Elephas maximus indicus: one gene and its partners. The protein of the gene in region 3 interacts with the protein of the main gene of each other region in a pairwise test. Links are inferred from orthologs where the notes say so. Each region holds a gene or a part of one and is shown on either strand. Other genes may lie near its edges.

Region 1 (7,758 bases), on a different chromosome or scaffold from region 3:
TGAAAAATGGGCTCAGGCAAAGGATTCCAGCTGAACCTGGTCAGGGCCTCAGGGCGAAGGGAAACAAAGGGTCCCCCCACAGCCATACCATATTATCTGGAAGGAGGGCAATGGACCCACCCAAACCACAAAATCAGATGTCCCGTTTCTGAGGGACACGTGATATCCACGTGTGTGAATACAGCCTTCAGTTCCAGGCCAAAGTTTGCAACGAGAACACCTACAGAGACCTGCCAGTGAAGGTGTCAGACAGGGAGCAGTCAAGCTTGACATGGCAGTCAAGCAGGAACTGGAGAGCACGTGCTCTATCCAAAACAGCCAGCCTCTATCCAGCTTGTTGAGAAAGTTTTATGTAAAATCTCTCAATCTATAAGTGTTGGCAACTAATTTAATTGTTTTAAAAATTGAGGGCCAACAGGGAAAAAGGATAAATAGGCAAATGCTAGGTTGTGTATGGTTTTGCAACAGTAACAACCACCCAAAAAGAGGGGGGACCCTACAGATGCTAATACTAATTAGACATAACCAATCACCTCGAAGGATTCATTCTCTTGGTCTGGGGGCTTAGGGCCGTGGTCTTGTGGGATACTCGATTGGTCTTCTGGGACAATCCAGTCAACTGGCATAATATAGTTCTTAAAGTTCAAGTCCTACCTCCCAGGATGGTAAGAAGGGTCTGGGGTTTGAAAAACTTACGAGTGGCCACCTAAGATACAACAATTGGTCCTTATTTTTGGGGAACAAAAGAGAAAGAAGAAAACCCAAGAATCAGAGAAGGAACAGGGCAACAGGACTGTCTCCTCCACCTCCAGACTAGAAGAGCTAGTGGTGCCCAGCTACTACTCTTGAACATTCTGATCAAGAACACAACAGATGAATCCTGATAAAAGGGGAGAAAAATGTGGAATGGAACTTCAAACTCTTAAAGAATACAGAACTACTAAACCTACTGAGGCTCTGTCCTAAGACCATGGCCCTGAGTTGATCTTCAAACCTTGAACTGAAACTACCCTCTTAAGTCACCTTTAAACTAAGTAACAGTTTAATCCAAAGAGTAAAGATTGTCACCCAAGAGTACTGTTTCTTAAAAAAAAAAAAAAAAAAAATCTTGGTATATAAAACCAAAGGGTCAACAACTACTTTAAAAAATAGATAAGAAAATTGGGGAGCAGGGAGATTAAGTAAATGGAAGTGAAACAACTAGAACAGAAATAGAGAGAATGTTAACACAATGTGAAGAATGTACTAATGTCACTGATCATTTTGTCCAGAAACTGTGGAATAGGAGCCGGCTTGGTTGCATGTATTTTCATCAAAAATAAAATTAAATTGAAAAAAAATTTTTTTGATGGTCAACAGTTAAGGGCCGGATTCACCCTATAGGCTGCTGGTTTGCAAGGAAAAAAAAAAAAAATCCCCAATATGTTCTATTTTCTTGCTTCAAGTTTGCTGGCACTGGTCCTGTACCTACCATGCTGGAGGCATCCCCACTTGGCCCTTCCAGCTGCTTTTATGCAGTGAGGAAGAGTGCCTTTTTTCCCTAAGAAGTTATTTCCAATTACTAACAGATTAATGTTTGCCTTAAACATCTTGAAAATGTTAGTTTTAAGGCCACCTGGAAACCTAAAGGTAGCTTCTTTCCATGGTCGTTCTAAGAAATACCCGGTGGGAATTAGGGGAAAAAAAAAAAAAATTGCTTGGCACCGCGCTTCCAAGGAAGAGGAAATGCAGAATGGCCAGTATTAGATAACTCTGAGCTCAAGAACAAAACTAAGCTGAAGAATTCTACCACAACTGCCAAACAGGAAGAATCTTCTGAGCCGGGAAAGCCATTTGCAGGCAACAGTAATGAAAACGTGATGGAATCAGACAAAGAAAAGTAGTTGAGAGAGAACTTTTCTGTTTAACAATCCTTGCCAAAAAGCAAAACAAAACAAAACTTTCCTTTCTTGCTAACTTCTGCTACGCCAATCGACCCTAACAGAATGGATAGGACAGTTAAAGCTGGATGGCTCCACCAACACACGTCCTCTCCTGAACTCCTAGTAGCTGAACGCTTCTAATGGCTTCTAGTAGCTGCAACTGCTTTCCATAAGCAACAACTGCAAATCCAACATTAAACACAAAAACTACTCCGATTTCATTTTCTAGAAACCAGTTATCCAGACAGACATCCACTCTGGAAGAAACATGCTCCTAGCTCCCTAACCACACACCGTTTATCAGGAAAGGTCACTTTAAAGGACTTAGACGACAGGGGCGCTTGCAGAGAACCCTCAGAAAGTCCAAGAATCGCCCCTAGAGGAAGAGGCCGTCTCTCCGCCGGGGACAGACGCATCTCGACCGGCTAGGGCTCCCTCTCCGCCCCCCGCAAACGTGCAAGTTCGCACAATTTCTCCATAGCTGACCTGCTTCTGTCACTGCGTCCCCTTCCTCCTCCCTCCAACCCGGCCGCCACCAGTAGAAACCCGTCCCGGGAGCCATTCCTCGCCACGGTGAGGGCCGCGGGGGACGTGCGCGTGGCTAGGCGGGACTCTGGGGCCTGCGCGGGGGGCCCCGGCCCTTTCACACGGCGCGGCCGGGTCGCGGCCCACCTCGCCCGGCCCGCCACCACCCCATCCACTGAGTCCCCGCACTTCTGCGCCCTGGGAAGCTGGCCTTGGCTTGGCCCGAGCGGGCGCCGGTTCCCACCCGTGTACCAGATCCTCCCGGACTGGGTCCCCGCGTGCCCGGTGGGGGACGAGGAGAGCGGGCGGGAAGACGGAGCCTGAGAGCTGAGGCCGGGTGAGCGCTGCTGCTCTAGGAGGCCCCAGCGGGCTCCACGGCTCCTGAGGCGCCTGCCCCGGAGAAACAACAAGACCCGAACCTCACCTCTCTCGGGTGCTGCCGCCACTGCTGCCCGGGCCAAGGCGCCTCCTTCCCCAAGCGGCCATCTTGGAGACACTCTGCTCGCAAGCGCCTGGCGCCAAGGCGGACCCCAGGCTGCTGCGGACCGAAGGGAACTGTAGTCCATCAGCAGCCCCGCGGCAGCCGGGACGCCGGGGCCGCACAGCGCCGGACCGCAACACCCACAGTGCACCGCGCGCCGGAAGCCCCGCTTCCTGCCTCCTGGGAGACGTAGTCCTCGTTGGGGCGGGCCGCCGGGAGACTCAGCTCTCAGGGCGCTTTTAGAAGTTAAACTCTCGAAGCTCGCAGCCTGGGGACTCAGGCGCCCGCCGCTTGTCTGTCCTTGGCTCTCGAGGGCAAGTAGGTGAAGGGGAGAAATAAAGGAAAGTGCCTACAGCTCCCAGCATGCTCCGCGGGAGGCGGCCCTCGCCCTGCCCGCCGTCTGCCGCGCTGCGTTCCCTGCGGCGGCCGCGGACTAGCAGTCGCGCTGGTTCTGCGGCTCCGCCTGGTCTGGCCAAAGCGCGCCGCTCGTCTTCCCGGTGCTGCGCCGGCGGGCCCAGCTCGGGCCCCTCGGCCTCGCCCCACGCGAAGACGGCGGGACATGCCCTTCACATCCGCCTCCGCTCCCTAAGGTCATTGAGGGGCAGGAGGCGCAGCTCGGACCCATTCGCCCAGATTGTCTGGATTCCGGGGACACTTTGGAGACCAAGTCAGGCGCGGCCCCTGCTGTCACGGAGCTGGAGGAGAGAGTCTGAAAGCCAGAAGAGAAATCCCTACAGTCTGCGATAATTGCTGCCAGGGAAATAGGGTTCTCTGATGGAGAAAAACAAGCCAGGGGTCTTTTAGATAGGGCCGCTGGGGCCTTTTCAGGCCCTACCACACATCACACGCCCTCTGCTGTCTGCAGTGGCTTGAATGTAACCTCTTATTTCGGTGTTTTTGAAACCGTATGCCCGGCAGGTCTTCCCACGTGCCAGGAACCCTGCTCCAGGACCTGCCTGGACACAGCTCTAAAGGGTCGGGGTCAGGATGGACTCACGGAAGCCCAGAGATTCCTAGATGCAGCTTCCTCAGACCTATGGGCATTTTGGGGGTCTGAACTGCTAGGCCCTCTCCTGCTTCCCACAAACTGTATTACTAGACATATTCGTTGGTTCATAAATATTCATTGAGTAACTATTACATGCCAAATCGGATTCAGATTCAGAGTCGGGAGTAAGCTTGCTCTTGCTCTCGCTCTTGGCACTCCAGCCAGGTGGAACTCCGCGTTCCAACGCAGGAGACTGTCAGGGTGAAGAGGTTCATCAACGAGCATTCCTCCGGACTTCGTTCCAGCTCCCACGCTACAATATTTTTATCTGCTAAAAGTTCCCTCGCAGTCGCTCCTTACCTACGGGATAAAGTCCAGGCTCCTTAGCACGATCTAGAAGCCCTCCTTAATCTGGCTGCTGCCTACCTCTCCAGCTTCAAATGCCTCCTTTTCCTGTCTGGAACTTGACACTCTAGTAAATTCAGAGGATCTGTGGGTCTCCAGATGTCCCATGCTCTGCCTAAAATGCTTTTCCCTCCTGGCCAGATTTTATGCTTCAAGACCTTGAGCCTATCTGATCTCTAGGAAGTACCTGCTTTCCCAGTTGGAGAGCACCAAGCACTGGTGTGACAAAGTGTAGCACACTCCAGAGACCTCTGAACACTTAGCATAGTACCTTGTTGCTATCTATGGACATGTCTGTCTTTTTCTCAGGACCTGGAGCTTTACATAGCGTGGTGATTAAGAGGCCATACTAGGGATTCTAGAACACCTGGATTGGAAGCATGGCTCCACACATCTGGATCTAGGGCTTCTTACATTACCTCTCTCAGCTTCCTTGTTAATAACACCAGGATGATATTAGTACCTCCTCTCAGAGGATTGCTATGAGTATTACATGAGATGGTAACATATATTGAACTTATGTTAATGCTTGGCGCAAGGTAACAGCTGATAGCTATGTAATACCAAGCACTGTTCCAAACATGTTAAACAATATAATTCTCTTAATCTCCACAACAGCCTTGTGAAAGTGATACTGTTATTACCAGCATTTCACGAATGAGGAAACAGAGTTACAGAGGACTTGAGTGACTTGCCAAGGTCACATTGCCTTCACCCCAGGCTGTCCAGCTGCAGAGCTTACACTATGCTCTATTGTGTCTCAAGAAGAGCTCTGTAAATGTTGTCTTCCTCAGTGAGAACAGATGGGTTCCAAGACTGTCCAGTGCACAAAGTAAATGTCAGTGCTTAAACAGCCACTGACCCAGGATGACCTTCCCACTCCCCAGCTCTTCCACTATGCCCTCAACTTCTAAATAGCCATCTGCTTCCAATCTGCTGACTTGAGTTGAAATCCCCAGAATGTTGTCACTTGATCACTAGAGTATAGACATCTTCTGAAAGGTTCGTAGGCAGGTTGACTCATTCAGCATGTATGAACTAAGCACGTACTGAGGACACAGCCTGAATTGTAGGAACTGGAATTCCTATGGGTTCCCATGCAGGGGAGACCCCTAAAGAGATCCCTGATCTGCTGCTGACAGGCAGCTGGTGGGACAGGCACGTCTGAGCTGGTGCTTTTCTTACCACACTTTTCATTCATTCGTTCTTAAAACGGTTAACTATTGAGTCATACTCTGTTAGGCACTGTTTTAGGCACTAAAGGTAAAGCATTTAGTAAGACAAATACTGTTTCTGGTCTCATAGACTTTACGTTCCAGTGGGATAGACAATAAATAAATACTTTAAGAGAGTACTGAGTACTGAGAAGAAAACAAATAGGAAGATGTAATAGAGCAAGTTGGAGGGACAGGAGACTTGAATGAAGAGAAAGCGTGTGCTCTATGAAGAGCTGGAGACAGACTGTCATGAGCAGAGACAACAATACATGCAAAGGCTCTGGAGTGCAAATAAGCTTGATACGTTCCAATAACAAGGTGGCTGGAGTATAGTGAGGAAAGGGTAGCACATACTTGGTTTGCTTTAGGTTACTTCCCATTTTAATTTCCATTTATTTTGTTGTTGAGATACTTCCTTTCTTTAAATTTCAGTTTTTTCAACTGTAAAGTAGGGATAATTTTACTTACATTGGTCAGTGTCTAGTTAGAAAAAACAAAACACCCTAGGTATTTCAAATAGAAGGACCTTAATGCAGTGTGTTGTTTACAGCATGTTGGAAGGGCTGGAGAAGCAAAAAGAGGGCAATGAATGTCACCTGTGAATACTGTGCTCCTTTAAAAAATCATCTATATGAGGTTAAACTGTCAACAATTAAAACAAAGATGAGAATGTAAGGGGGCGGGGAAACTAGAGTAATGGAAATGAAACAACTAGAATGTTCACACATTGTGAAGAATGTAACCAATGTCACTGAATAATTCGTGTAGAAATTGTTGAATGGGAACCTAAACTGTTGTGTAAACTGGAAACACAATAAAATATTATTAAAAACGACAACAATTGCAGCAGTGTTTACAATAGCAAAAAGCTGGAAGCAACCAAGGTGTCCATCAAAGGATGAATGGTTAAATAAATTGTGGTATATTCACACAATGGAATACTACGCATCAATAAAGAACAGTGGGGAATCTGTGAAACATTTCATAACATGGAGGAACCTGGAAGGCATTATGCTGAGCGAAATTAGAGGCAAAAGGACAAATATCGTATAAGACCACTATTATAAGATCTTGAGAAATAGAATAAACTGAGAAGAACACATTTTGTGGTTACGGGGGGGAGGGAGGGAGGGTGGGAGATGGTTTTTTTACTGATTAGATAGTAGATAAGAACTACTTTAGGTGAAGGGAAGGACAATACTCAAATACACAGAAGGTCAGCTCAAATGGACTGGACCAAAAGCAAAGAAGTTTCTGGGATAAACTGAATGCTTCAAAGGTCAGCGGAGCAAGGGCGGGGGTTTGGGGACTATGGCTTAAGGGGACTTCTAAGTCAATTGGCAAAATAATTCTATTATGAAAACATTCTGCATCCCACTTTGAAATGTGGCGTCTGGGGTCTTAAATGCTAACAAGCGGCCATCTAAAATGCATCAATTGGTCTCAACCCACCTGGATCAAAGGAGAATGAAGAACACCAAGGTCACACGATAACTATGAGCCCGAGACAGAAAGGGCCACATGAACCAGAGACTTACATCATCCTGAGACCAGAAGAACTAGATGGTGTCTGGCCACAATCGATGACTGCCCTGACAGGGAGCACAACAGAGAACCCCTGAGGGAGCAGGAGATCAGTGGGATGCAGACCCCAAATTCTCACAAAAAGACCATACTTAATGGTCTGACTGAGACTAGAGGAATCCCGGCAGTCATGGTCCCCAAACCTTCTGTTGGCCCAGGACAGGAACCATTCCCGAAGACAACTCATCAGACATGGAAGGGACTGGACAATGGGTTGGAGAGAGATGTTGATGAAGAGTGAGCTACTTGTATCAGGTGGACACTTGAGACTGTGTTGGCATCTCCTGTCTGGAGGGGAGAGGCGAGGGTAGAGAGGGTTAGAAACTGGAAAAATTGTTACGAAAGGAGAGACTGGAAGGGCTGACTCATTAGGGTGAGAGTAAGTGGGAGTATGGAGTAAGGTGTATATAAGCTTATATGTGACAGACTGACTTGATTTGTAAACGTTCACTTAAAGCTCAATAAAAATTATTAAAAACAACAACAACAACTATAATCAGACAGAAAAAGAGTGCAACAAGGATACCCAAAGAAGCCCTGGTGGTTCAGCAGCTAAGTGCTCGGCTGCTAACCAGAAAGTTGATGATTCGCATCCACTCAGCAGCTCTGCAGGAGAAAGACCTGGCAGCCTGCTCC
Region 2 (7,950 bases), on a different chromosome or scaffold from region 3:
GTCTGAAAAGATCTCTGTGGAATGAATGCATTTGCCTTTGGGATGCACAGCTAAGACTAGAACCCACGTCTGAGCCTCCAGGCTCTCTGCCTCCTTCAGGCTGTGCCTTTCATGAGGGTTTGTTTCCTCCAGGGCACTGGGGCAGAAGCTAGTGTGGGTGATTCATTAGATGATGAGTCCTGGGGGCTACCTGGCAGTCTGCCATCCAGATGGCAGCAGACTAAATCCAGCGGGGCTGAGGGTGGGGAGAATACATGTTCTGGTTTATGGGAGGGCAGATCTAGGGTGAGGTTGACTCACCCATGGCTTGTGGGGAGTTCCCAGGGTCTAGGGAGCTGCTCCTCTCCACAGCCTTGCTGTACCCTCCAGCCTCACCTTCCAAGTAAACATAAAAGAGCAGGTGCTCTGATGGTCCCTGCCCACTAGAGGAGCCACACTTTATAAGGAACATCCCAATCTCCAGAGGGCTGATGGTCATAAAGGAAGGATGGCAAGGAATACAGTACAGGCAGTGTAGGGTCAAAACTCCTGGCTGAGGAGTCAGAAGGCCCCAGCCCCTATTGTCATGTGACCTGAGCCTCAGTTTCCCCATCTACAATGTCCAGACTGCATGTTCCCTCAAAGCTCCTTCCAGCTCTGAGAAATCTAGGCTTTTGAGCTTAGGGACCGTGTCTCCCTCTTCACCATCTGTCCCCAGCAATTAATATGTCACCTAGCACATAAACCAGCTGTCATTGAGTTGATTCCGACTCATGGCAACCCCGTGTATCAGAGCAGAACCGTGATCCACAGGATTTTCAATGGCTAATTTTTCAGAAGTAGATCACCAGGCCTTCTTCCAAGGTGCCTCTGAGTAGACTTGAACTGCCAACCTTTCAGTTAGCAGCTGAGTGCATTACTTAAGAGAATCTGTCGAAAGATTTCAAGATCATATGGAGGCGAGGATGTGCGATGGAATGAAACGTTGTCCAGCCATGAGCCAGCCTCAAGATCATTGCTATGTTTGGGCCCACTGCATACAGAAGCAATTTTGGTCCACGTCTAGGCTCGAGTCTGGCACCTAGGAGAGGGTTTCTGATTTTGAGGGAATCTAGAAGCAACTTTTCCTCCACCTTCTTCAGGGCACCCAGGGAGATGCTAAGGTTTTTCTTCTAGGCTCCTGAGCCTCCACATCTTCACCCCCCAGAGCATAGAGGTAGATGAGGCAGGAAACTCCCTCTGTCTTCCTTCCCTCATCCCAGCCTGAGACCTGTTTAGAGGGAAGAAGGGGTGTGTGCTGAGGAAGGTGATGGTACATGTTATTATTGGCAGCATGTAAGAGCACGCACAGCATGAGGTAGGGTGTATGTGTAGCATTGTGGGTGGTGTGTGTGCAGGATACAAGTGTGATATGTGTGTCTGGTGTGTGAGGTTGTGTTTATGGAGTACTGGTTTTTTTTTACGTGGCAAGTAGGATGTGGGGGGTGTGTGTGTGTGGAGTATGTGTGAGGGTGTACTTACAGAGCGTGTGTAGTATATATGTGGGGTGTGTGTTTAAGAGTACGTTTATAGGGTGTGTGTGAAGTGGTGTGTGCATGTGCGTGTTGTGGTAAGGGGCCGTGTCAGGTTAGGGCGGGAGCTTGAGATCCAGGGTCTCCAATCCAGAGAAGCCAGGGTAACCAGTATCCAGGCAACCATATTGGGGGGAGGGGAAGAGAAATGGAGGTGAGGAATGGGCAGAAAAAGGAGGAGGGAGGCTGAGAATTAGAGAGGAGTTTCCATGGCAACCACCAGGCAGGTCACATGCAAAAGGCTAAGTTGCGGAAACAGATATACACATCCACACATATACAATGTGAGGGCGGCTGAGCTCCAGAGTGCAGGTTCTGTCATAGAGAGAGTGGGCTGCCCACTGATCCATCTCCAAGCCTGGAAATTCTGGCCCGGCCATAGAGCACAACGCCAAGAGACAAAGGAAGTGAAGACAGAGGCCACGTTTGTGGGAGAAGCCCCTGGCTGCCACAGCCCCTGCACCTGGAGGCTTGCAGCAGGGGATGGGCAGATCCATTTCTCCTGGATGGCTGCTCTCTGCTCCCACCCTTGGGCACTTTCTCTACCAGCCACCACTTGTAACAGCTGGAAGCAAGCACCAGGAGACCCAGGCTGCTCAGCCAACTCTCCACCGAAGCCCAAGGAAACAGTGGGGGAAACAGGGTTCCTGGCTCCATTGAGGTCAGCCCTGTTAGGAAAGAGGGGCTGGACATGAGGGAGAGGAGGGAATAGGACTGGGTCCCCCCACCCTCCACCCTGGGAAGAAAACAGATTGGAAAGAAGAACCGGGGAAAAAATTGATGCAGACCTTCTCCTCAATCCCCATACCCTGGAACTCCAGGCCCTTCTTTACCTGCCCCCACCCCCTTGCCTGCTGCCCAGCTCCAATCCCTGGCCATGACCCCCACGCACCAAACAAGCAAGTTCCATTTTGTATGGCTCGTGTGCTCACACTCCCTCGTCCTCACATCCACACGCCCCACGCCAAGTCTCCACAGCCTCCAAGTAACAAAGGAAAAACACCCTCCGGATAAGACATGGTGGGAGCCGCCCTGCCATTCTCCCAAAACCATAGCCCCAAGCTCAAGGCAGCATCCTGAGCATTTGCCAGTCACCAGCCTCACCCGCACCGCGCTACCTGGCTCCCCTCGGCGGCTCCTAGGCCCTTCCGACGCCCACCTCCTTGTTTACATCCCCAGACCCGCTTCCAGCTGTTCAGGCGGGGACGAGGACGGCCGCTGGCCACGAAGGACCGCACACATCCACGGTCACAGACAAAGCCCGCCGCTCCCGGGGGTCGGTCCCACCCGAGCCTCCTGCCCTCCTTCGAAGAAGAACCTAACCCGGCCTCCCCGCCCCACCCCAGCGCCTTACCTGCTCAGCCCGGACCCCTGGGAGCCGATCCTGGAGGACGTGCCGAGCCCCGAGGCGCCGGGGAGTGGCTGGGCTGGGGGCGGGCGCTGGGCGCGGCTTCCGCGCTTTCCCGCCTCCCCGCTCGGCGGCGCCGGGGCCCGAGGGGCGCGGCCTGCCGGGCGGGGGCTGCTGGGGGCCGGGCCCCTGGCCCGGTGCCTCGGCGTCGGCTGGCTGCTGGCCGCGGGCCGCGTCCCCTGCCTCCGGCCCGCTCCGGCTCGCGCGCAGCCCTCCGTCTGGGCGGTTTTTCCCGAGGCCAGCGGCGCTCGGAGAAGCAACAGGAGCCTGCCCGTGGGGGCGTGCGGCGCGGGAGCGATTTGCGCCCGGCTGTTGCTTTTTGGTTTTCCTCTGGCGCGGGTGGGAAGGGAGCGAGACAAACACAGTGCCAGAGCCAGTGACTCTGTGAAATAGTAAACTGAGGGGAACGGAAAAATCAGAGAAAAGAACGCAGCACCAGACACAGCAACCCACGTTAATTGGGAGCCTTGGCAATTAAGGGGAAGTGAACTAAAAGCATGAATGGCAGTGTCGTAGGCGCAGGAGCCAGCTCTGGTTGTAGCTGTCATTTTCAGTGAGAGCCAGGTGGGGTGCTGGCGGCGGGGCCCTCATCCCTACCACAGATGTACCCAGGCCCGCTTTTCAAGACCCCCACCCCACTCTCAGGCCACAGCTCGGTCCCCTCACTGCTCCCTGTTCAAGCCCCGCTCCACTCCAGTCCTCACGCGTCAAAGTTCCAGATGACAACTGCGAATTTTTAGATTTGGCCTCCGTGATCTTGGGCAAATCACAGAAGGACCCTCTTGAGCCTCAGTTTCCTCATGTGAAAATGGCGAAGATTAACACTGACCTCTTGGAAGGCTTAGCGCAGTGCTCACGGTGAGCGCTTGAAAAACTGGCTGTGACTACCGGGAGGAGAGCCTGTAGGAAGACAGGAAGGCCAGGCACAGGCAGAAACCACAGGAACACAGCGAGGGGCAGCCATGCTGGTAGTACCCAGAAAGTGGGTGGAGGCTGCTCAGCCTGAGCCAAGATGTGAGAGGGAAGGGGTGAAAAGGGGGCAGTCCTGAAAGACACTGTGACAGTCCAAGTCTGGGTAGGGCCACAGGGTCTTCCTTACAAACCCCAAACCCTATGGTGATAGATGCTTCTAGGAAGAGCTGGGTAATGGATCAGGAGACCCAGCCCTGCCTCCACATCCCCAGCCCTGGGCCTCAGTTTTCTCATTTGTGAAATAAGGGTGAGGATTAAATATTCCCCACAGTCCCTTTCAGCTCTAACCCTAGATGATTTACTTATTTATTTATTTATTAAAACAACACATATTTATTATATTTCCAAAGTCAAAATCAGTCTCACTGCGATAAAACCAAGGTGTCAGCAGGGCTGGTTCCTTCTGGAGGCTCTAGGGGAGAAAGTTTCCTTGCCTTTGCCAACATCTGGAGGCCAGCATCCTTCCTTGGCTTGTGGCTGCATTGCCATCTTTCCCCTGTGCCTGTCATCTCATAGCCACCTTCTTCTTGTATAGTCAAATCTCCCTCTGCCTCCTTCTGATAAGGACAAAAAAGGACAGTTGTGATTAATTTAGGGCCCGCTCAGATGATCCAGCGTAATCTCCACAGCTCAAGATCCTTAACTTAATCACACATGCACCATCTCTTACACCATACAGGGTAACGTTCACGGGTTCCAGAGATTAGGTCTGGATATCTTCGGGGGCCATTACTCATCCTGCTGTAGCACTCTGTTCATTTATTCAACAAAGATTTACTGAACACCAGGAATTGTGCTATCACTGAAGGAGCAGCAGTGAACAAGTATTTAGTTCCATATTTCCCCAAAAAATACTTTTTCTAATAGACTCTACTTAAGTTCTTTTTTTTGTTGGTGTTGTGCTTTAGATGAAAATTTATAGAACAAACTCACTTCTCATTAAACAGTTAGTACACGTATTGTTTTATGACCTTGGTTAACAACCCCATGACATGTCAACACTCTCCCTTCTCTACCTTGGGATTCCCTATGACCAGGTTTCCTGTCTCCTCCTGCCTTCTGGAAACCGTGCCGTCTAGTCCTTGCCCCTGGACTGGCGTGACCCGTTAGTCTTGCTTTATGTCTTGTTTCATGGGCCTGTCTAATCTTTGGCTGAAGGGTGAACCTCAGGAATGACTTCATTACTGAGCTAAAAGGGTGTCCTGGGGGCCATATTCTTGAGGTTTCTCCAGTCTCTATCAGGCCAGTAAGTCTCCTCTTTTTTTTTTTTTTGGTGAGCTAGGGTTTTGTTCTACATTTTTCTCCGGCTTTGTCCGGGAACCTTTATTGTGATCCCTGTCAGAGCAGCCAGCAGTGGTAGCCAGGCACCATCTTGTTGTACTGGACTCCGTCTGGTGGATGCCATTCTAACCCTAGATGATTTAATTATTTTAATAAATGGTTGAGTCTCAATACCCCAAGGCATAAGAGAGAAATTAATTTAAGAAGGATTTGAGTATGTTTGGAGCCAGTAGAGAGAGGAACCATAAATGACTACTGAGAAAGAGAGGGGAAGAGAGCCCCACCAGGGCAACCCTTGGGAAGACAAGTCTGGCCCCTTTAGCACAAGCCCTTGAGGAGAATGGACCCCGCTGTGGCCCAGTTGCAAACTCTGGGTTCTGGTAAAAGGTAAAGCTCTTCTACCTCAAATCTTGCCCAGCTCTGTGACGTTAAACAGACCAAATAATCGTTCTGTTCCTCTGTTTTTTCCTTTTTTAACTGAGCACTTTGTTACAACTGTCTTATCCCCTTTGCATTTCCTCTGGGTGGGAGAGGCAAAGCTGCACCACTTGCTAGGCGCATGTCCTTGGGCAAGTAGATGAATCCCTTCCAGGCACCCTTGACGTCTGCCTTTTGGCCACCTCTCTGTGTTCCTTTCAGGGATCCTATTGGTGAGGACATGTAAAAAACCTAGGCTTTGCAGACCTGTTTGAGAAAGGAAGGGCCAATGGGTCAGGACTCCAAAGCTGGGCCACCTGTTGGTGCCAGCCCCTTTTCTGCCAGGGAATTCTAAAGTGTTTGGCCACTTTACCCCCATGTCACCTTGCCTGTCACTGCAGACCAGTGACAGGATAGTAGCAGCCACATTCACATGAGGAACAGTCGTGGCTTGACCTCAGATAGTGCTTCTTCACATTCCATCCCAGGGCACTGCTGAAGGAATTTGGGATGTTACAGTCACAAACCAGCTTGTTCTGGGGGGGGGTCACGTCTCCCTTCTAGCGGAAAAAGAAATGCATCTACCCTATGAAAAATGCAGGTCTGGATAAAAAGAGGTCACCAGTTGCTACCATTCTTTCAACACATTTAACTGATTTGAGGAGCCACTCTGCTGAGCCCTGGACCAAGCTCTGGGGAGACAGTGGTGACAGTAAAGTCACGGTCCCTGCCTTTGTGAAGTATACCTAATGGGAAAGATAGATATTCATCAAATAGTCCTGCAATAAGTGTGTCATCAAAACACTGATCAGGGCCCTGAGGATGTAGCATGTGAGAAGCAAGCTGAAGGGTCAGGAGGATGAAATGAAGGGGCCAGGAGTTGGTGTGCCAGGCAGGGCTGAGAAACGATTCTGCCACAGGAACAGAAGAAGCATGGGCAAAGGCCCTGAGGCAGGAGGAAGCCAGTGTGGCCATAGAGCAGAGTGGGAACGCTGGAGAAGGAAGCAGAGGTCAGGCTAGGGCAGGCCTGGTAGTCCCTGGATGATTCCAGCTTTTATCCTTAGGGCAGTGGGAAGCCACTGAAAGACATTAAGAAAACTGTTACAAGCAAGAATGACGGACCCCGCAGTCAGGGCTCAGGGCACTGTGAGGAAAACAGTGGTAACTTGCTGAGCAGTAGGCCTGGTCGTTCTCTAGGGCTAGAGGGTCCTTCTAGAAGGCTCTTCTAGAGGCCCAAGATACAAAGAGGTTCACAGCAGTGGTGGAAGGAGATCAAGAAAGAACAGGAACCATTCCTACCCACCCCCAAATTGGAGCCACGGGAAGACCTAGGACTAAGAGGATAGCATCATCCTTGGGCATGGAAGCGACTGCTCCACACTTCAAGCTTGTGCTGAGCTAAGTACCCTACAACTGTGTAGTTAAAACCCCATCTGGATAGCACTCGTGCCACTTGTACTGTGGCAAAAATAGCCCTTCGACAAGTTAGTGCCTGGGTTACCCAGCCACTGACAAGAAGGGAGACCAGAAGTATCAGGGAACACCCCCTGCCACTCCTAGCAGGTAACTGTCCAAGGCGGCCACGGGAAGCTATGAGATGTCATTTCATACCGGGGCGTAGACTGTAGAACCTGAGCAGACCCTGCCAGGCAGCACCTGGCCCGGACCATTTGCAGCTCACAAACTGCTGCTTTGTGCCATTCGCATTCACTTTGCTTCATACAGTCCCTGGGTGGTGCAAATGGCTATCATGATCAGCTACTAACCGAAAAGTTGGGGGTTCGAGTCCACCCAGAGGCACCTCAGAAGAAAGATCTGGTGATCTATTTCCAAAAAACCAGCTTGGGAAAACCCCACGGGCCACAGCTCTATCCTGACACACACCTTGTCGTCCTGAGGCAGAACTAACTCAACGGCAACTGGTTTTGCTCTGTCCAAGTTTGAGTGTGTGTCTTCGCCCCTCAGCCAAATGATGAGCCCCAGTGTCTAGGACAGAACAGTGCTTTCCTAACTCCTTGGCTGAATAGAGCTCTTATCACTTCCAAGCCACTCCTGATCCTGGACCCCTCCTACCCTGACCTTTCTTTCTCGAACTCCTCCACTTCTCCCTGGATAGCTTTGTTGGGCAATTTGTCATTTACATATTTCCTGGACAATGTAATCCACGACCGTGGTTTTACCATCCCACTTAGGGCTGATGGCCCCACAGTCTCCAGCCTGGTCCTCTCCCCAGAGACCCAGACAAGTAAACCCCAGGGCCTTCCTCCTAATCAATCCATCACCAAACTCCTCACAGCCGCTTCCGCCCTCCCCATGTCCCCC
Region 3 (7,702 bases):
TGACTTGCTCACACAGCAACTTCTAGCTGAGTACCTCTTACCACCGAGCCAAACCAAACTCATTGCCACTGAGTTGATTCTGACTCATAGCGACCCTATAGGACAGAGTAGAACTGCCCCACAGGGTTTCCAAGGCTGTCATCTTTTATGGAAGCAGGCTGCCACATCTTTCTCCAGCAGAACAGCTAGTGGGTTCAAAGTGCCGACCTTTTGATTAGCAGCCGAGTGCTTAACCACTGAGCCACTAGAGCTCCTTCTCATCCAGTCTCTGGGATGAGTTAGTGATTACGGACTCTTACATGCCAGGCATTGTGCTAAGTCCTTTACATTCATTTTCTCACCAAGTCTCTACCACAACACTGTGGTGAAGCTTCTAAGAGCCCCCCACTTTTCAGATGAGGAAATTAATGCCCCGAGGAAGAAGAGCCACTTGTCTGCATTGGCCTGGCTGGACCAATCTCCAGATTTTCAGCCCAGGGTTTTCTCTGTCTCCCCTCAGATGCCCCTTCTTCTCCCTCTATCTCGCCTAGCCTTGCAGGTTCTAGGCACAGGAGGCTCCCCAGCAGGGCTTCTCCTCACCACAGCCCCAGTGCTGGACACCACTGCCTGATTTCCTGCGCCGGACCGAGGCCCAAATGAGCAGCTGGGGACGCAGGGCTGAATGGAGCTGAAGGAAGAGGTGCAGGCTGCAGAGTTCATTCAGAAGAAAGTCCAACTCAGAGCTGCAGAGGGCTGGGGGAAGATCACCAGGGGCCTATCCTGGTTCCATGGCCCTCCTTGGCTGCCAGGATCCCAGCGCCAACAAACCTTCTCCTTCTGACCAGTACCTCCTACCGACCCCAGGAGTGTGTGGACTCCCAGCACCTACTGGTTTATTCCTTGGATCTACGCCAGAACTGTTCTTAGAAAGACTTGATCCAACCTTTCTCCCATTTTACAGACAAAGAAGCCGAAGGCCAGGGAGGCAGTGAGTGACCTGGCCCAAGCTCACAAGCAGAGTCAGCAGAGCCAGGACTAGAACCTAGGTCTCCCGCTGTCAGCGCCAGGTCTCTCCCTCCTCTGCTTTGACTGGGGCAAGGGGCCTTTCTCAGGGAGCAGGGTGACCAAGATTTGCTGGCTAATGGAGATGGGGGAGACCTCACACCCTATCCTATGCCTTCCTGACTTAGGTTCTGTCTCTTGGCCTCGGTTTCTCCACCATTAGTCAAATGGCCTGTGACAGTTCTGGTGGAAGTCTAAGATGCCCAGGCCCAGGCTCTCCAACCCTATAAGTCTCTGTGGAATTCGTACTTGTCTGGCCCAGTTTATCTTATTCTGAGGAGGTAGAAGCCATCAGGGAGAGATCCCCAAGATGATTACTGAGGCTGTGTAGGGGGGTGGGAGTGGGGGACTGATGGTTCACAGAATAGGGGGCTCCCACCAGATTCCTCAAGCAGCTCTCATGTCATAGGGCAGCACCTTCCCTTCCCCAACCCAAATATTTCTCCTTTTACTGAGCCCATGGCCCTCCTCAGGGCCTTAGGGCTGAGCCTGAGAAGGAAGACAGGGAGGGAAGAAGAGAAAGAAAGAAGCCACATTTCCTTAGGGAGGGAGGCAACAGGGAGCAAGAGGAGAAAGACAAATCCAGAGATAGATACAGTCGTGAAGACACAGGGAGGGAGACAGAGACAGCAAGACATGAGGGGCAGGGACACAGAGCAGTGACCCAGAGACACAGATGGAGAGGGAGGCTTCCCCTGCCTGAGTGCCACCTTGTGCTACCCCGACCAGCTGGGCTCCTCCACGGGGGATCTCAGGCCCGACTCCCTGTGGGAAGCAGCCGCGGCTGCATCCCTAAGTTTCCGGGTCTGGCTCTGGCCTCCGGGGGCGCCGGGTCTCTGCCGCCCTCCCCACCCACCGCGGGAGCCGGGTCTTTGGCCCTCTGAATGCTCCGCTGTGCGCCCCCCAGCGGAAAACCAGACGCTGAGCCACCGAGGTCCTAAAGGGGGCGCAGGAAAGGGCGCCGCCACTTTTCGTCCAGGCTGATTCCAGAAGCCCGGGGTGGGTGGAGGACGGCTAGATGAAGTGGTGGGGGGATGGTGTCTCAAGCTCCTATCCCAGGACTGAGTAGCCCCGACGCCTCGACGTCCCTTTGCCCTAGAAGGCCAGGGCGAAAGTATCCATGGTCCGAGCCCCCGGAGGGACGCGCGCTGGGGCGAGCTCGGAGGCTCCGGTCCAAGATCGGTGTCTACGGAAGTGTCAAGGGACCCAGCTGCCAAATCTCAGCGCTCAGAGCACGTGTCCCTCCAGGAGATCCTATACCCTTGGGCCCTCCAGGGAACTCTCCCTCGCTCCTGCCCAGTAATGTGTATAGTGGGGTCCTTCCGGGGGGCCCAGGCGCGCCGCGAAGAGAGGTGCGGGGCGGCGGGAAGAGGACGCAGACCCCCCCTCCATCTTACCGCATTGTTGAGGAAATCAGACTCGTTTAGATCCCCCAAGTCCAGGAAGCTGTATCCGGGGAACAGCCTGTCGGCCGGGAAGGGCTCCAAGACGGCGTCCATCGCGGCGGGCTCCGGGGACCCCCTTCGGCCTGGCTCCCCTCACTCCAGGGCCGCTGCGCGCTCCGCTCCGAGCTGGCAGGAGGCCGGGGGGCAGGTCCGGGGCCAAGCCCCCGGGGAGGGGTAGTGGGAGGCAGGCGGCCCGGGCTGAGGGGCTCAGGGCGCGGGGCCTCAGGACAGCGGCTCCGAGCGTGTTGGGCTCAGGGGCCCCGGGCGCACCGTGGGCATCTAGCCGACTCCTCCTCCTCCTGCTCCTCCCGGGGCACAGCTGGCTTCCATGGGGAGCCCAGGGGTGGGGCTGAGGGCTTGGGGAGCCCCCTGGACAGGATGGGAGCCGGGGTAGGGAGCTAAGCGCTCCCCCGAGATTGGGTGGGCGCTGGGCGCTAGCGCTCTCTCCGCGTCTCCCTCCACAAGGCTTCTGTCACTTTCCCCCCCACTGTGAAACCGGGAACCCCGGGCTGGTTAGTCCAGCCGGCCAGGGCGCCACGCCCCCACATCAATATTCACAATAGCTTAATATTCATGAGAAGGGGGCAGGGTTTGAGGAAACATCACTCCTCTTTTAAAGAAACATCCGCAACCTGGTTTCCCTTGTCAATTTCTGTTCTCTGAATGCTCCAGGTAGGTAGGAGCTTGAAGCAAACGCGTCTTGGAGCCTATAACAATGTTCCTGGGGTCTCGACACCTTGTTTAGGCTTTGCCAACTATTCTCCCATAAGTTGATGAGGAAGTTGCTTTTTCCATTCTTCCAGCCTTATGCTAAAACCTGAAACAAACCCACGGTTAGGGGATTCCATCTCACGGTCTCTCAACAGAGCTCCCTCAATGAGGATATAGTCAATTTCTTGACTCATCTTTAGTGTCTCAGCTCAGGTGTCTCCTTCTCCAGGAAACCTTCCCTGACTTCCAGGCTGGGGCAGTTACCACCCCTATACACTCACAGGAAACCGTGTGCTTACCTCCATTGTGGCAAATCTAATGAGGTACTATCATTGTTCCCTCACTGACCCCACTGGACTTTGAGATCCTTCAGGGCAAGGACTGTATCCAACTTTCCTGTGTGTGAAAGGCTCGGTTGAACAGCAGAGATGAGGGGAGGACCCCTCCTCTCATCAGTCATCAAGTGCCCCTAACGGTTCTGTGGAGGAGTCCCTGGGTGGCGCAAAAGTTAAGCACTTGTCTACTAGGCAAAAAGTTGGCAGCTCAAACCCACCCACAGGTAACTCAACAGAAAAGTCTAGCGATCAGCTTCTGAAAAGTCCCAGCCTTGAAAATCCTATGGAGCAGTTCTACTCTGTACACATGGGGTTGTCATGAGTCCAGAATCAACTCAACAGCAATTAGCAGCAATAACAATGGTTCTAAAGAGTGGGAAGTTGGAGCCTTTGGCTGAGTGACATCCTGTGTTTCGTAGCAGGTGAAGGCATTTGTGGAGAGAGAGGCGGATTCCATGTGTGCAGGCAAAGTGTGTGCTGAGATGATGAGTCGCTGGAGACCAGGGTGGACTCTTCAGACCCAGGATAGGCCTCTGGCAGGTACGTGTCAATCTCTTCTGCCAGAGGCCTATCCTGGCTTTAGAGTCTGGATGAGCCAAGATACTGGATGGCTGCATGCTCCACGGTCACCTGGACACTCCCAGGCCACCTGGATCCATCAGCTAAGTGGCCCACTACTATGTACAACTTAATCTCTTGAAAGGGCTGATAAACAATTACCAGGCACCTGAACAAATGGAGGTGATTGAAAAAGGCGCTCCCTCAGAGGGCTGGGCACACCAGCTCCTCCAGCTCAGAAGTCATTGATAGGATTAAGTGTTTCCTCCTTTTCTGGGGCTTTTAATTAGCTCAGGAATGAAAAGGCCTTTTAAGAAGTGGAGATGTCACTGCACCTAAGCCATGGATGTCACTGAAATTGTTCTCTCGGTGCCAAGGTGGGAGAAGAGCACACACCGGGGCTGAGAGAGTGGCTGTTTGCTTGCCTGGGGCGGGCAGGCAGGCATGTGGCTTTCCCCCAACTCATGACCCAGTGGACACAGTTCTGGGTAGTGAAGCTCTGACCCTCCAGGCTGTCACACGATTGTTAGCTCCCAGGCCTCCTGGAGAGTTTGCTCCCAAGAAGCTGGGATTATAGGCCATGCTCTGGGGACCAGTTCACCAGCAACACTACCCTGAGAAGTTAAAAACAAAAACCAGCACCAAACCTGTTGCCGTCAAGTCTATTCCGATGGCAACTAACAATAACAACAGTCTTTATGAAAGCAGATCTCCAGGCCTTTCTTCCATGGGCTTCTGGATGGGTTCTAACCACCAACCTTTAGGTTAACAGTCAGGTGTGGACCGTTGGCACCTCCCAGGGACCTGAGAATTTAGGCTATCCCCCTCAGCCAAAAACAAACAAAAAAACACACCAGTTTATTCTCAAAACAGTGGTACATAGAATTAGGATGCTGAGACTGTGGGTGTTTTCCCGTGGTGTAGTGGTTAAGTGCTAGGGCTGCTAACCAAAGGGTCAGCAGTTTGAATCCGCCAGGCACTCCTTGGAAACTCTATGGGGCAGTTCTACTCTGCCCTATAGGGTCGCTATGAGTCAGAATCGACTCGACGGCACTGGGTTTGGTTTTTTGGTTTGGTCTCACATGTGGCCAACTGGGGACCATTCAATGTGGCTGATCACTTTCAGGGTGGGAGGAGCAGTCTCTGACTGGATGAACAAGCCAGTCTGTTGTGGGTGAGCTTGTGGCAGCAGGTGTCTGGAGTCCTGGCTCCTGAGCTGGAGTCCCCGCAGGCCCTCTGGAGGAACAAAAGTGCCCCTCTGCCTGAGGTGGGCTGGAAATTTTGCCTGTGTTCCTCCCAGCCTGCTCTGTAATTAGAGACACAGGCACCATTTAAGTGATTGGGGAAGATTATATAGTTTTAGATAAATAGGATTAGAGTGTCCTCTCTTTCCTGATTCTTACCCAGGTGAACACCCCAGGAAACCATTGAAAATAATCCTGGGGAGACATTCTGGTTCCGGCACCTTCTGTGGAGTCTGAGAGGCAAGATCCCCTAAGAGGAGTCCTGGGGGAGGGGTGGGAGGAGGAGAGAAGAGAGAACGGGCAGGGCAGAGTCTGGCACGTAGTAGAAGCATGATTTTTTTTTTCTGGAATGAAGGGGATGGCAAAGCTCAGCAGAAATGAGGCTGGCAGGAGATTTATTCACACATGCAATAAGTATTATTGAGCACCTATTATGAACAGTCCCTAGAACAGACACTGGAGACATGATACTGATGAGGAACGTACATTCCAGAGTGAACGTGGGCGTGCAGGCACTGGGGCAGGGGAGGAAAGTAGGGGTGAGTAATTTTTAAAAGATAATTTCAGAGACTGATAAGGATTCTGAAGGGAATATCATAGTGTGACGTGACTGTGCGGGGAGGGAAGGCCTCTCTGAAGAGGTGAATTGAGCTGTGAACTGAGGTTATGTATGGAGCAAAATGGAGGGAAAAGCGTTCCAGGCAGAGGAAACAGCAAGTAGAAGAGAAGGAGAGAGAAAGGCCTAACTGGGAAGGGTAGGGAGGGGCCTGGAGGGCGATGATGACTGTGAAGCCCCAAGCCCCTACATGAACCTTAGGGCCACACTAAGGAGTGAGGCTGTGTTCCACACAAGGATTGAGGAGAACTGTGCCAGTTCAAACGAGAGAGCCCACCTGAGGCTTCTGTAGGGTGTCATCAGCACTGTGTCCATTCCGAATAGTCTCTTAAAGATTTTCCAGGACAGGAAATTGGACAGCTCATGGGGTCTGAAGTCTGGGTTCTGACCCAACAGGGAGGGTCTGCTCTCCTTCCTGCCAGTCCCTGGTCCTGGTCCCACAACACAGCCCCCCTCATACGAAAAGATGGGGTCTGAGGAAGGAGGCCAAAGTTCGTTCTGTAAACACCACCCTCAGACTCCCAAATACTCCAGGCAGAGAAAATAAGGGAGCACAGCCCTTCTGGCTCAGGAACACCTGGTCTCTGCTTTTCAGCAGCTGCTCCAGCTGTGAGGCGAAGCTTCAGGCATAAAGACTCCCCAGCCCAGTCAGTGACGCACAGAGCGGAAAGGACAGAGATAAGCTTCCTGTCTGTCCCAGGCACTGGGGGCCAGGCAGAGAGAGAGAGGGAGAGAGAGAGAGAGAACACGCGAGCAAGCTGCCAGGCTGAGCTATGTGAGCAGGGCTGTGTGTATGTGGGGGAAGGCTTCTTGGCTGGGGACTGCTACATTTTGACACACCTGGAGCGTCATTGCCTTTCTCTGGGTCTCAGTTTCCACATCAATAAAATGGGGAAGGTGTTCATTCATGACCCCTAGAGTCCTGTCCTCTCCAAGGATCTTCCCAACATGCCCCAACCAGGACAGGGTCCCGCAGCGGGGGAGGTGGGGGCCGGAGGGCCTGCCTTCTCAGTTTTACAGCCTTATGCCCCAAGCCTTGAGGAAGGTGCGAGGCGGGCTGTTTACACTTGGCAGGCAGGTCCTGGGTGGTGGCGAGAAGGTTGCCCAAAGTAAACCTGCCTTGTTTGCCCGGATTGTAAAGGGAAAACGTTTTGGCACGTTCTAACAGGAACTTCTGAGAAATGAAAACATACTCATCCTGGAGATTAGGCTGACTTCCGGGGCGCAGACGGGGCCCTTTGTTCTCTTGTGGCTCCCGAAAATGGGCCTCTTTCCCTGTGCCCCCTGCTGTGGCGGCACCCTGCCAAGGACAGCAGGGTGGGCTTCAGGCTCTGGACTTTTCTTCATCCCCTGGTCTGTGGTCCCTTCCCTGCCCTGCCCTGAGTCATAAAAATAGCTAACATTTATCGAGTACTTGCTTTGTGCCAGGCACTAAATACTTTACTTATATTATCTTGTTTAATTCTTGGAACAAGCTGATGAGATAAGCGCTGGATTCCACTGACTCTAAGATGCACATTTTTTCACTTTTCAACATCTCTGAAATGAGAATGTCTTCTAATCGATGGTGTGTCAGAGTTTAAATGGCAGCATTTTCTTTCATTCTTAGAATATATAAAATAATGGTGCGCTATATGATTGATGATAAACCCTGGTGGCATAGTGGTTAAGTGCTATGGCTGCTGACCAAAAGGTCAGCAGTTCGAATCCACCAGGTGCTCCTTGGAAACTCTATGGGGCAGTTCTACTCTG
Region 4 (7,786 bases), on a different chromosome or scaffold from region 3:
AGACCTCTTGTTGAAATTAATGGGTATAGATCTATATAGTGGGGTCCATACTAGGCTTTCGAGAACTTTTATTCCCTCAGCACTATGATTCCTCCCTTACACATGGAAGAGATTCAGACATAAACTAAAAAAGAAACAACTTCAGGGTAGACAGAGCATTTGGGAAATACAAAAGCAAGAAGGGAAACACTCATGAGCTTTTATGTGATATCCAATTATAGAATGGAGATGGAGAAGGGTATAAAATCATCAAAATATCTCCATTTAATTGATCTGCTTCCCTGCCCTTCCTTGTCTCTCTAGTTAACATTAGCCAAAGTAAGGAAGAGAGAAAGTATTTGTAATGTGTTTTGAGGCCCAGAGACAAGCTATAAATTGAACAATAATGTTAAGGGCTAGGATTGAGAGGCAGATACAGTTCAAATCCTGGTTCCCATATCTGTTTGTGCACTTGGGGAAATAATTTGACACCTCCTGACGGCACTGGGTTTTTTTTTTTACACATTAGTTCCTAATCCAGAGTGTCTCAATAAGCATAAAAAAATTAATTGTTTATTATCTTGCGTTAAATTCTGTAGCACCCTCTAGTGGTATGTGCAAAATAAGCATTGCATTTCTGCCCTCCAAAGCGCTGGTTCTCAAATTTTAGTGTGCATCTGAATAACCTGGACAGCTTCTAATAATACAGATTGCCAGGCCCCACCCCAAGAATTTTTGATTCTGTAGGTTTGAAGTGAGGAGGCCTGGTGGCTCAGTGGTTGAGTGATTGGCTGCTAACCAAAAGGTCGGTGGTTTGAACCCACCAGCAGTTCTGCGGTAGAAAAGACCTGGCTATCTGCTCCTGTAAAGATTTCAGCCTGGTAAACGCTATGGGGGCAGTTCTGTCTTAAAGGTTCTCTATGGGTCAGAATCGACTCAACGGCAGACAACAGGGCTGAGTGGGGCCTGACAATCCGAATTTCTAACAACTTCCCAGGTGATGCTAAAGCTGCTAGTTCAGGAAACATACTTTGAGAACCACTGCTCTAAACGACCCCGGACCGACATACACACATAATGTATATATGATTGATAACTCAAAGAGGAATGATTTTTGTTGTTGGATTTTGATTTTGTAGTACCCACCTAAAAGGGATTTTATGAGGAATAAATGAGAATATCCATGTGAGGTCAACACCGCATCTAAAATATAGAAAGCATGCAAAAAACTGAGAATCACAGAACATAAATCATTTGCCCAGAGTCACAGGGCTATAAAGTGGTGACATAGAGATTAAAAGGTCTCTGGCTCCAAAGACATAATAAAGTTTAGCAGTACCACTGCACATACACACGTGTGATAAAATTGTCATGAGAAAAGATCAGTTTTCAATGCCAGATCCAAGTTTTACCTCAGAGTTTTTAATCTATCTTTACGGACTAAACAGCCCTCTGTGTACTGTTTTGGGGGGTTGTTAACATTTGAGAAGAAGGTGAACAGAAAGGGTAGAATCTTCATCAGCATCAGTGCCTAGTATCATTCATCACTTCCCTAAAAAAAGAAGGCATGGAAGAAAGAAGACAGAGGAATGAGGAAGGAAAAAAAAATTTTAAGGGATGAGGTAAGAAGGAAAGAAACAAGAAAAGCATTTGGATCTTGGGCCATGGTCCCCTGCCTATTAGGGCCATTTACAGAGGTTGGCTTCATTTTCCCCCTAGAAACGAAAGAAAGATATACTCACTGGAGATTGGAGAGTTCAGCAAATCAGAAACACGGGAGGACAAAATCCCATAATTCCAGGGACCAAATAGCCAATCCTTTGCTAGGATTTGGCGACATCTAGTGGCCGACTTGAGAGGTATAAACCTCATCCAGAGAACTTTCTGGAAAATTAATTGTGTGTGTACTCGCTTGAAGGGCACTGTGCTTGGTGGTCAGGACAAAAAGGTAAGAGTTCCTCAGCCGCCACAGAAATTTACGGTCCTTCGTGAAGGGAGAGGCAGTCGTATATTGATTATCCCAGCAGAAAATTATATTTGTACTAGGGGAATTGCGTGCAACTTTGGGGACGAGCGGGGCTAGGGGGCGGGCAGGGAGAAAGGGGTGGGAATGGGAGAGAGGGGCAGGGAGCAGGGAGCTGTCCTGAGAAGGGGGGAAAAGGGACGGGGGACACAATGGAGAGGGGGAAAGGGCGCGAAGGGGGGGAAGGGAGAGAAGAGTCGAGGGATGGGCGGGAGGCGGGGGAAGGTAGGGGGAAGGGCGGGCGGGGATGGGAGGAGGATATTGGGGAATATGAAAGGAGCTGCCCCTTGGAGTTGCTAATAGAGGAACGGGAGGGTTTGGCTCTTGTGCAATGGGGAGATGTGATTTAGAGCAGGATTTTGGCACCGAGCAAAACGTGGAAGGGTCTAAAATTGAGTCAATAGGAGAAACCAAAATACTTCATATAACAGAGGCCCTTTGTTATTATCCGCTTGACTTATTTTCCTTTTTTTTAGAACAATTTTCAAACATACAAAAGTAGAGAACAATTGCTATAATAAACACCCACACACTTATTACCTAAATTTAACATAGTGCAGCTCACCTATAGGTAAACACACACACACTCACACCAACCCCACTCAGGGACACACACCGTGCCCCAAAGCTAAGGGCGCAGGCTGGCGCACACCCCCAGGCCACGCGAGCTCGCCTGCGCGCGCGCGCACACACACAGGCCCCAACGACACGCGCCCGAGCCACCCGCCGCCTCCACTCACACGCATATTAAAAACACCCCCGCCTCCCCCCCCCGAGTTGCGCAAGAGGTTGGGGGGCGTGGCCCCAGGTTTGACCTCGCGCTTCCCCACCGGCGGGAACCTTAGCTCATTTCCGCCGTCCCGTTTCCGCAGGCCACGTAGACACTTCCTTTCCCAGTGTGGCGGGGGGGACCCATAATGCCTCTCTAAAGAAAAAAAAAAAACCTTCTGGTCAAGGGAACTCTGGGTCGTGAAAATAGGCCACGTGAACACTGTGCTCTATAGACTTATGACCCAAAGGCTGTCGCGCTTTTGGAGGGTGGGCTAAGAACCTAAGAGGGCGAATGTGATTGGCTGCAGCTCACAGTAAAGAAGGAAGGTGATTGGTTTGCTCCGAGCCTTAACCGTGAAGAAGCAGGTTACTAGCACCCGCCTTTACTGCGGCTAAGTGTCACTGCTTACGTGGTAGTCCTCGTCCAATCATTTGGTTATAGAACATTCTAAAACTTAGACAAGACGAATGTGATTGGCTGAAGGGCATAAGCCCGCCTTTAGGATGACGTGTCTGCCTATGGATATCAGTTGCCAGAGAAACCTGGCTTTACTATGGCGGTTGGAGGAACGGCAGTGATCACACGTCGGCTGTTGGGAAGAGCTGGATTCTCGTTTCAGGTTTCGGGGTGGGGGTGGGGAGGAAGGGTTGGTGATTTCCCTTTATCCTGTGTATGTATAAGGTATATATATACACATATACAGACAGAATCAGCTACTGGCTTTACAATCGGTCAGAGCTGGTTCAAATTCCTGCTCGCCAACGCCCAGCTCGGGCAAGGCTCCGATTCTTTCTGTATCTCGGTTTCCATGTTTGTAAAATGGTGATAATAATAGTATCTACCTCAGAGACGTGTACGAGGGTTAAGTATGATAGTGCGTATAAGGCGCTCAATACGAAGCCTGGCTCTTGTAGATATTATTATTACTATGGAGATAAAGCCTCACATAACAGAATGAGAAAATATGTATTATGTAAATTCGCTCATTATAGTGCCTTCCCTGCCCATCAACTTCCCTCGAAGAAATTAGAGATGTAAGAGGCGTAATTGTTATCGATGAAACAATACGCCGAGATTTGCTTCGGAATAGGATTGAAATTTTCCAAATTGAAAAGTAAAAAAAAAAAAAGATTGAAAACGAGAGCGAGCTGGAGATCAACCACATGCGATGAGTAGGCCTTGTTTGGTTTCTGATTTGAACACAACTGTAAAACGTTGTTTAAGATACATAGGGAAAATTTGATCACCGACTCGATGTTTTATGGCTTTTAAGAAATTTATATCATTTTTTAGGCGTTATAATGATACTGTGGTTATGGTTTTAAATTTTCTACCTTGTAGCGATATCGACTAAAATATTCACAGATTAAATAATATAATGTCTGGGATTGGCTTCGAAATACGTTGACGACTAGGATTTGCTTCAAAATAATTTCTGCGAAGGGGAGAGCGGAGAGGGCTGTAGATAAAACAAAATTGGCCTGAAGTTAAAAATCGTTTAAGCTGACTGTTATTACTCTGTCTATCTTAGTGTATGTTTGAAATGTTCCATAATGAAATATAAAAAATCAGCTATTTGGTGCTTAAAAAATTGGAGGGGGGGCAGTGGGTGGGGTTATAGATGAAACAAGATGGCCTTCAGTTGGTAATTGAAGCTGGGTGATAGATTCGTGTGGGTTGGTGATACTATTCTATCTAAATTTTTGTCCATTTGATTTTTTTTCCTTCATAAAATGGTTTTTAAATATTAGTTTGTTTAAAAAATAGGTTAAATGTACATGATTTGAAAATATAACCACAAGAAAGAAAAAAATATTTGTGCATATTTATCAGCTTTGGTGTTCTTTGTGTGTGATAAAATGCATTGATTGATGGAAAAGAAAACCGTGGTCTGATATCTTTTTATTTTATGTCCTTTCCTGTCCCCTTCTTTGACCTTCTAGGTCATCATCAGAAAAGCTAAGTTAGTTGCACAGTAAGGATCAGAAGATCTGATCCTGATTACAGAACCATCCCTCATTACAGAATCTTGGGTAAGTGCTTCCCTTCTCCTGGCCTCAGTCCTCAAACAAGATAATACCACATAGTCTTGCTAAATGTCCAGGAATATTTAGAACATTAATAAGCCCTTATCTGGGAAAGGGAAGGATGGAGCTAAACCCTTTGGTGCTTCCAGAGTAGAAAATGGATATAGAGGCCTAAACAAGAGAGGGCTTATATAATCTTGCATCCCTTGATGAAAGATTTTACAAATGATGCCTTATAGTTAGTTCCACAAATCCATATGTTTGTTTGGTTGGTTTTTTTCCTACTTTGGGGTATCCTATATGCAGCATAGTTTAGTGGTTAAGAGCAAATACTGTCTTCCTAAATTTAAATCCTGGTTCTGCCACTTACTCTGTGATCCTGGGCGAGATATTTACTCACTTTGTACCTACGTTTCCTCGTATGTAAAATAGAAGTAATAGTACCAACTTCATAGGATTGTTGTAAGAATTAAATGTAAAGTACCAGGATGGCGCCTGGCACATGTAGGTACTTTAATAATGATTAGTCCTTCTGATACATCCTGTTTTACACACACACTTACACATGCTTCTAAATGCAGTAGATACCTCTCTTTGGAATTGCAAAAAAAAAATTAATAATGTTGGTTTCTCTCCTGATTTTTTAGAAGCAGCGTTACCACTAGAACTGAATTCTGAAATTTTGACTTCTGGCTTGTCCTAACAGTCTAGAAAGGTTTTAAATGTATTGATCACACATATTTATCAGGGTATTCCCAGGAGCTATGACTTTAACATAAGTGGCAACTAGCAAATCACACCATATTCAGTTCGCTGATAGCTTTTATATCATTCCTCCTTTGTCCTCGGTCTAGAAAAAAAAAATAACAAACGGTTACACATGAAGGAGATGTTCCAAGATCCTGAAGAGAGGATTGATATAAATGAAACTGACTTGGTATATGTGCATTTGAAGGTTTAGTCCATCAAACAAGGAGGTGCTATTCACACTCATTTGTGGCACACGCATACACAAAGGTGTTAGCATTTGGAGTCTGCATTCCTGAATGGTTCATCCCGTGCTTGAGGAGATGAAGGAAGGTTTGCAGGCTCTTGACAGCTTCATTTTCTCATGGAGTCACTGTATTTTGCTTATTTTTCTCCGTTCCAAAAGCTAGGTTTCAGAGGAGGGCACTGCCCTGGTGGAAGAGATGTACTAGATGAGTAGACAGATAAACCCTCTACATGAGGCCATTTGGAGAATGATTAAAGGCTAAAGGGAGCAGGGTGTACTGTGGGGCCAATAGGAGGTCACAGAAGGTATCAGTCAGGGTGGCCTGAAATGGAGAAAGCCTTGAGGAAGAAATGGATCTTGACTTGAGCCTCTGAGGTTGGGCAGAACCTAGAAGGAGGGAGGGAAACCGGTCTGAATGGTGCTCCTACAGAGTACACAATAAGCAAGAATAACTAACTGAATAGTTTAGCACTATGTAAGATCCATGGATAAGAATAGCTCAGATTATTATCATGAATTTAAACTATGTATTTTTAATTTAATTTTTAATCAATATGTGAATACATTCTCCTTATAAATTTAAATCTAACAGTAGGCTTAGGTTTTCTTTTTAGCCACCCTCAATTTTCTTACCCTCCCCAGAGGTAACCGTTAACCGGTTTGGTTTGTTTCCTTCTAGATCCCTAAAATGTGTACCTCTTTTAAAGATGTTTATGTATGTATATAAAATACTGTTTTGTGTTTTTCTTTTTACTCAAATATGGTGTCCCACCATAAGTATTGTTTTACAACTAGCTATCTTTGTTCAGTTTCCCTTGGATCTCTTCATGTCCATTCACACAGTTCTATTCGATTCCTTTCACAGTGGCATTCCTTTAACTAGCATGATATTGCATATCATGGATATACCACTTTTTATTTTGCCAGAGTGGAGATTGACAGTGGTGTTTTGCTACTTCAAATAATTCTGCATCAAACATCCTTACATAGTTTTCTTTGTACACATTTACAAGTGTTATTCTAGAACAGTATTTATGTAATTAACCAGTGTGATGCCAGTTTGAGAATAATCAGACATCACGGACAGAACAGATAGCCTAGAAATAGTGATGCCTTTGAGAATTGAGTAATCAAACATGGGGAAGAGAATACCACAAAAGACCCATATACCTCTGGGAATTTAATAAAGTAGCATTTCAAATTACTGGGGAAAGGGTAGACTCTTCAGTAACTGAGATGAGGAAAAGTTCATTGTGTGTTTGGAGAAAAGTTAATGTCTTATGCAAAGATGAATTCTAGATGATTACAGATTTAAATGTAGGAGAAAAACTATAAAAATACTAGGAAATAGTATAGTCAGTGATTTCTTAGAAATTCTTAAAGTAAGACACCACAAACAAAAAGACAAATGGCAGCTTGGAAAAAATATTCCAAAACATAAGCTCAAAAAAACTTAATTAGTAGAAATTAATAAGCAGCAAATAACCCAGCAGAGAAGAAAAAAGAAATTGCCAACGAGCATATGAAAAGATGCTCTGTATCACAAAAATTCAAATTAAAATAAAATGCCTTGTTACCCATTAGATTGCCCAAAAAAAAGAGGTCCCCCCCCCCAAAAAAAAAGATGTTTATCTACGGTTGTCGAGGAGGTTGGTGAAATGACTTGCGCTTTTGCTGGGAATACAAATTGAAACAGTTCTTTTTAATGTGCATTTGGCTTTATCTTATCAAAGTTGTAAATAAGTAAATCCTTTCACCAAACAGTTGCACTTCTGGGAACAGAGTCTTCAGAAATACTTAGTCTCATGCTCTAATAAAGCTGTACTATTACAGCATTTTTTTTTAAATAATGAAATATCGGAAACAACCTGAATGTTCATTAATATGGGACTGGTTAAACTAGGGAACATAAAAATTACAGAGTACGGTGTGGCTGTTGAAAAAGAATGAGGTAGGTACGTGCTAACGTGGAAAGATGTTCGTGATAACAT

What was found.
Region 1: the proteins of CREB3L1 (region 3) and TMEM11 interact in binary tests that used the Homo sapiens proteins (3 or more experiments, as listed by UniProt). The two-hybrid records come from large-scale screens. The link is inferred for Elephas maximus indicus from reciprocal best matches to the Homo sapiens genes CREB3L1 and TMEM11.
Region 2: the proteins of CREB3L1 (region 3) and FXYD6 interact in binary tests that used the Homo sapiens proteins (3 or more experiments, as listed by UniProt). The two-hybrid records come from large-scale screens. The link is inferred for Elephas maximus indicus from reciprocal best matches to the Homo sapiens genes CREB3L1 and FXYD6.
Region 4: the proteins of CREB3L1 (region 3) and PLP1 interact in binary tests that used the Homo sapiens proteins (3 or more experiments, as listed by UniProt). The two-hybrid records come from large-scale screens. The link is inferred for Elephas maximus indicus from reciprocal best matches to the Homo sapiens genes CREB3L1 and PLP1.

Annotation. Positions count from the first base shown.
Region 1 is NC_064820.1:216,394,506-216,402,263, reverse strand, and holds the start of TMEM11 (transmembrane protein 11, mitochondrial), read right to left. Parts: upstream 3,005-7,758; 5' UTR 2,934-3,004; coding exon 2,872-2,933; intron 1-2,871. UniProt on the Homo sapiens protein: Plays a role in mitochondrial morphogenesis.
Region 2 is NC_064835.1:10,219,256-10,227,205, forward strand, and holds the start of FXYD6 (FXYD domain-containing ion transport regulator 6), read right to left. Parts: upstream 3,013-7,950; 5' UTR 2,905-3,012; intron 1-2,904. UniProt on the Homo sapiens protein: Associates with and regulates the activity of the sodium/potassium-transporting ATPase (NKA) which catalyzes the hydrolysis of ATP coupled with the exchange of Na(+) and K(+) ions across the plasma membrane.
Region 3 is NC_064825.1:101,759,545-101,767,246, reverse strand, and holds the start of CREB3L1 (cyclic AMP-responsive element-binding protein 3-like protein 1), read right to left. Parts: upstream 3,006-7,702; 5' UTR 2,541-3,005; coding exon 2,439-2,540; intron 1-2,438.
Region 4 is NC_064846.1:54,511,463-54,519,248, forward strand, and holds the start of PLP1 (myelin proteolipid protein), read right to left. Parts: upstream 3,012-7,786; 5' UTR 2,818-3,011; intron 1,928-2,817; exon of another isoform or gene 1,837-1,927; intron 1-1,836.